2 linked regions of the Xenopus tropicalis genome follow. The protein of the gene in region 1 interacts with the protein of each later gene in a biochemical or structural test. Links are inferred from orthologs where the notes say so. Each region holds a gene or a part of one and is shown on either strand. Other genes may lie near its edges.

Region 1 (2,886 bases):
GCCATGGCTAAAGAGATTGGTAAGAACTGTTTATCGGCATTGGTGTTGGGTTGTGTTTTTTTTTTTTTTTTTGGAGGAGATCATTTCCTTCTCTTACAAAAGGGCTGGTATTGGTATCTTTTTAGAGTAGCATCTGCCTGAGAATTTCATCCATGCATAGCAGTATTTAAAGGGGAACTAAACCCCAAGTCCCAAGTTTTTCTATACAAGTGCAGTATTTCAAACATACTGTAGCCCCTAGCCAGCTTGCACAGTCCCTTCCTTTAACTCTTCCCCCAATCTCTCTTTCTGCAGGTGCTGTAAAATACTTGGAATGCTCTGCCCTTACGCAGCGAGGGTTGAAGACTGTGTTTGACGAAGCAATCCGAGCAGTGCTGTGCCCACCTCCAGTCAAGAAGCGAAAGAGAAAATGCCTGCTGTTGTAATAACTCCCACATGCCATCTTCTATCCCAGCTGAGTCTGCAGGCTCTGATGGGATCATTGACTCAAATGCCAATTCCCGACCCTATTTGTGATAATTCATTTATTGCCTATAAATATAATCTTTGAATTTCTCCAATTCTTATTTTCACCCTCGTTCCTATTAGTGACAAACATTTTTCCTGAGCCCATTTAAATCCTGAATAGCAGCTCAGTCCTCTAGGCCTTATTCACAGTAAATGATCTTTTTTTGCTGTAACTAATCAATTGTTGCCAAATGTTTAACCAACTCATTAATGCGTATAACATGAGCCATCCACAAAGGAACGGGTTTTTTTTTGGGAAAAATGTACCTTTTAGATATGAAGCAGTATGGTGCTTTACTGCTTATATTAAATCCTTTCTTATCCTTTCATTCACTGTATCACACTGTAAATCAACCAACGGCTCCTTTAGAGATGTTTAGAACACAGTGTATCCTCTTACTGCGTGGGGGGAAATGTCATAGTCGGTTTAAGGGTACTAATCTGCTCTTCTGGCTACAATTTGTATTACGATGGAAATGTAACCATAGGTTTTGGGGTTTACTAGTGGAAATAAGTGACAGTATTTAAACATGACAGCGACGAAGCATCAGCTGTAGAATCTCATGACTGCAGTAAGAAGGGTTGCTATAGGTAAGTATTTGAGTTCTGTTGTCGTTTGGTTTTCCTTTACTCATAGGGCATTTGTTTGCACCGTTTTGTTGCTGGGGGTGACCAAACCATCTTCGATAAAGCCATCCAGCTTTAGGCTAATGGACACGGGGCGTGACTGCCTCTGTAATTTGGCTGAAAACCGCATTGGTCCTATCGCCTGTCACTGCTGTCCATAGGGATCTATGGGATGTATGCTGTCTAAAGCACATGTAGGGGTGACATCTGCTTAGACTGTGCTTAGGTCTGCGTGTCACTGCTTTAGGCCTTGCAGTTTCCTTATTTCTCAATGGGAAGCAGTAACAGGCAGAATGAGGGTGTTTTGGGCGCTGCTGATTACAGTAATGGCCTGTGTGCCATAGATCATGATGTAGGATAGGCAGTCTGTGTGCCTTCCAGCTGCTGCAGAATAACCACATCCCTGACAGTAAATACGTAAGAGTTTCTGCTGCAGCCAGAATGCCAAGATTTGCCTTTCCCTGTCCTGGGCAGTTACTGCAGAGATGCTAAATCCAGGGGTATGGGGCTGGCGCCTAGGCCAATGGTTGACACTGTTCGTGTGTACCTTTGTGGCAAGTAACTGTATTGTCATACGGTTTTGCAACTTTGATTCCCACATATCCTAAGATGTACAAGCTCTTCATGGTGGCTTCTTTGTAGATTTGATAACTTGTATTTTATTATCTTTCTGATTATTGTAATTTGCAATTTTGTAAACTGACAAATTAAACCTAATACTGTTTATCCATGTTCCTTTCCTTGCCGGTGTGCGAGCAATGGCCTTCTTCCTTCTATTAACACTAGGTGTAAAAATCATGTGTCACCGGGTAGCAATGTGCGTGCATTTACTCATCCATGTCACCGGCGGTGTGCCACAAAAGCAGGGGAGAAGGCACAGAAGTGGTTAACTCACTCCAGACGTATCTCTGTACTGACAGACCATGATGTAACGCGTTTTAACTTTCTTTTCACTTTTTGTGAAACCTTTAATGCTTTTATTAATCCTGTCCTTAGGTGTGTGAGCGCCTGTTAATATGGCTGCGCACTGCTGAACACTAGCAAGTACAAAACTGAGACAACTTTCTGTCACTTGAACAAACAAGAGAATTTGCAATTGTTACGAGAACTCGTGGACAGTGTTTTTACATTGATCTTTTTGCTAATGCAATTTAGTGTTTTACATGCATGTTTGAATTAATAAATTCTTAAACCACAGAATATGCGCCTGGGTTTTATTTTTCCTTCTGTAGCACCGTGCCTGTGTGACTGGTTTCACTGTGAAAGTTGTTTTGTTGTTGTCTTGGGCAGCTACAATTATCATTTTAGATTTATTGCAGATTCTTAGAAAATATTTAAAAAATCTGTTTAAATAGCTAGCATTTGTACTATATACACAGGTAGATTAAAGCCGACCATTTGTATCCTTCAGACCAAATCAGAAGCTTATATGTCCATGTATAGGTCCCTCCGACAGGCCTCCCCTTACCAATATCTGTCTGAAAATTGGCCAAATGTCAATCAGGCAGGTTTGATTTTCCTGTTGGATTGAGGACTGCATCACCCCTCTGATGGTTTGTATTTCCATCATTGTATTGTGATCATTTGGGCCTAGGGCCAAACGACTTGATTAGCTCTATGATCCTTAGCTGGACATATTGGGGCAGATCTGCTCATTTGGCATGTGTTTGGCCACCTTCACAGGCACTCATTTATTTCACAAATTTATTTAGTATTGATATACCATCGCATTAAAATCAGTTTAAGAAATGG
Region 2 (3,659 bases), on another chromosome or scaffold:
TACATTGCAGGTATACCACTTATGCATGTTCTTGAGCAATTCTGACAATGCCTGAAGCTGGCCATAGATTAAAGATCTGCTTCTTTTGGCAAGGACATCAGACCTAAGCCAGCAATTATCATTTGGGCCTACAAAAACCTGTTAGGAGAGGATTGAATCAGTGTGCCTATGCGGTCCTTGCCCAGTGGGACTCTCAATCCTTTTCTCTAGATGCCTGACTGATTTTTGGCCAAATATTGATTGGGCAGTTTCAGTACTTGGGCCAATTGCCGACTCAGAAGGGAGGGGCAGAGTTGGAAGCTTTTATTAAGCCCTGTATGACCGATGTATTAATATATAATATGTCCAATATTGTGGACTGCATAGCTACATGGCAGAGAACATTCAGTGATAAATGTATGTTTATGCACAGGGGTGGGCCAAGCCGATCGGGCACCTTAGATAACCTAGTTGGCCACCTCGCCCCTGCACCCTCCCCCCATGCCAGCGTGTGTGGGGAATTTTTTTGCCTTTTGAGACAAACTGTAGACTGTAGAGGCTTCAATAAACACTGATCATTTTTTTTTTTTTTTTTTAACTGAATCAAGATAATTGAATTAAAACCGAAATGTTGTTGGCATCACTACTGTGTTTGCTTAAATTTTTTGTCTTATTAAGTTCTTATACCTTTTTTTCAGGATGTTGTCTCCCATAGTAAAAAATTAACAAAGAAGAACAAGGAGCAACTTGCAGATATGATGATGTTAAACAAGCAAAGGGGAGGTCTGAAGGCCCTGAGCAAAGAGAAAAGGGAAAAATTAGAAGCTTACCAGCATCTCTTCTATTTGCTGCAGGTAACTGTGGCTCCAAATGAGAACAAATGCAGCTCCTTTTGATTGAGCATTTGAGTTCACTTTGGAGGTTAGGCTTAAATTGCCATATTTAGTTTGTGGGGTGAAATTCATTTACAGGAAAGAAGATGATGTGCCACCATTATCCTTTATTCTGGATTAGTGGAATAGGCATCTAGCAGAGATAATTAAGGCTAAGTATAATTTCTTGTAATGTTTAAATGCTTCTGCTAGGTTTGAAAGAGCTAATGGACAATATTTTGCAGATGAATTCTAGTTATCCGCTTAAGTGTTTCTGGAATAGAGAATGTGTTGCTGTTTATGCAGGTTTGCTGCTCTCTTAGCCCTTTTTTCTTCCCTTGCAGATACATGTTTGTGGGGCATCCCACACAATACATGTATATGAAACTGTTAAAATAATTCCAACAGGCCTATGGGTGCCAATGTGAAGTTATTCTATGTTATTGAGACAGGGACTAAGAACTTTAGTAGAGATATTTGCATAGATGGGTGATTTTGTGCTGACCATTCAGGGCACTGCCATTCTATTTAAATGATTACCCCAGAAATGATTAACAAAACTGCTGGTACTATTTGAAGCCACATTCTGGTATAGTTTAAAAGATATGCATTGGATTTGGCAGACAGAGGGGAATAATTGAGCATTGCAAGAGGACAGTAATATACCTTACATATTATTTTCTTTCATTACAGACAAACCCTACCTACTTGGCCAAGCTTATTTTCCAGATGCCTCAGAATAAATCCACCAAGTTTATGGACTCTGTCATTTTTACCCTTTATAATTATGCATCCAACCAAAGGGAGGAATACCTGCTGCTTCGTCTCTTTAAGACAGCCCTTCAAGAGGAGATTAAGTACGAGTTTCTATTTGTGAAAATATATTCAGTCTACTTGGGGAAATGCATTTAGAAGTAAAATGAAGATACAATATGGTTTACAATAAACACAATATGCTGCATGCATGTCTCATGGAAGCTGCTGGTTTCAATGATCCTGCTAAAACTACAGTATCAAAAGTTCATTTTAAAGTATTGGCTCTGTATGAACCATAAATTCAAGCTGTATGTAATGGCAGCACAACGTACTAGAAAGTACACATTTGTAAAAACTTGCAGTCAATGGGAATCCCTGTGGAATTCTGTGTGTCCATTATTTGTTTGGTGTTGGCGTGTGTATGTGTAGAGTTATTGTACTGTTCCATACTTTGCCATGTGTGTGTCCAGGGTAGCTGTTTAGAGTATGTTCCCTCTAACTCTATTTTCTGGCTGTTTCCTGCATATGCTAAGATATGGTTCTCTGTGACTATACAAAATCAGATAGCACTGCACTTAAATGTGTTATAATCCTGTAACATTTTCTGTGTCATTGCAAGAATTCATTGCCTTGTGACATAATGCTGGCTGTTTTCATTGGTCTCTGTAGATCTAAAGTTGATCAGATTCAGGAGATTGTAACAGGAAACCCCACCGTTATAAAGATGGTGGTGAGTTTTAATCGTGGTGCCCGTGGGCAAAATGCGCTAAGACAGATACTCTCCCCTGTGGTGAAAGAGATTATGGATGACAAGTCTCTGAACATCAAAACTGATCCAGTTGATATATACAAGGCCTGGGTCAACCAGATGGAATCTCAGACTGGAGAGGCGAGGTGAGCTTTTTCTAAGGCTACAGTACAATTCAGCATCTTGAAATATCCTATTATTCTTGTCTTCCATATCTACACAACTCTAATTTCTAAGTTCACAGGCTGAACTAGAATTGTATACTATATGAATTGTAAATCAGACATTCACTTAAATGGGTTGTGCTTTTAGCTTAGGCATACATAGACATGCAGCTCAGACAAACATTTTCTGATATTGGCTTCCCCTTTGGCTCTCTGTATTTACAGTAGCACAGTGATTTAGCTATATGCCTATTTAAGCTACATTTTCCAAAACTTACTCCTTTGTATTATGCTAACTGTATTATATAAAAGTTCAGTGCTGTGTACCCAAGCCTCACTGTATATACATATATACATATACATACACACATACTCCATTTGCACTTACTGTTATCTTTATCTGCCTCAAATGTAAATGTGGATCTTGATGCATAACTAGTGCCGTAAAGTCGATTTTTTTGTCTCTTTGTCTTTTAGTAAGTTGCCGTATGATGTGACACCTGAGCAGGCAATGTCTCATGAGGAGGTGAGGTCTAGACTTGATGCATCTGTGAAAAACATGCGAACTGTGACAGACAAATTTCTTGTGGCCATCATTAGCTCTGTGGACAAAATACCGTGAGTTACCTAATCTAGTTCACTTTTCTCCCCACCTGCCCATCCTCTCCTATGTGTCCTGCTAACTGTACTATCTATTTCCCCACAGCTATGGCATGCGTTATATAGCCAAGGTTCTGAAAGACACGCTGCATGAAAAGTTTCCTGATGCAGGAGAGGATGAGTTACTCAAGGTCAGCTTCAAGACAAAATTAATTTTGTTGAGTCCGTTGTATTCATAAGCACAAATAACCTAGGTCTCAATTGGCAATGAACAGTATTATTAGTTAAGCTCTCATATTACTATATTAGTACTCTTTTTATTGCATGTTCTTTCTAAATTCTGAACAGCTGTTGAAATTGCCTATTTCTCCATTGTCTGCTTGGGGGACACAGGAACAGTGCAGTATAGCTGGTACCACTAGGAGGCAGGACACAACAATACAAGAAGAGCCATCTCCTACTCCACTGACTATATGCCCAGCAGGCAGAGCCCAGTTCAGTTTTTGTTGTATCCTCAGGAGGTTAGGATGTGTATTTTGT

The links.
Region 2: the proteins of rac1 (region 1) and iqgap1 form a complex in vitro, tested with the Homo sapiens proteins (3 studies listed by BioGRID). The link is inferred for Xenopus tropicalis from reciprocal best matches to the Homo sapiens genes RAC1 and IQGAP1.

Annotation. Positions count from the first base shown.
Region 1 is NC_030685.2:25,471,171-25,474,056, forward strand, and holds the end of rac1 (ras-related C3 botulinum toxin substrate 1), read left to right. Parts: coding exon 1-19; intron 20-294; coding exon 295-425; 3' UTR 426-2,326; downstream 2,327-2,886. UniProt on the Homo sapiens protein: Plasma membrane-associated small GTPase which cycles between active GTP-bound and inactive GDP-bound states.
Region 2 is NC_030679.2:106,860,131-106,863,789, reverse strand, and holds part of iqgap1 (ras GTPase-activating-like protein IQGAP1), read left to right. Parts: coding exon 1-10; intron 11-677; coding exon 678-833; intron 834-1,544; coding exon 1,545-1,708; intron 1,709-2,276; coding exon 2,277-2,501; intron 2,502-2,996; coding exon 2,997-3,137; intron 3,138-3,225; coding exon 3,226-3,310; intron 3,311-3,659. UniProt on the Homo sapiens protein: Plays a crucial role in regulating the dynamics and assembly of the actin cytoskeleton.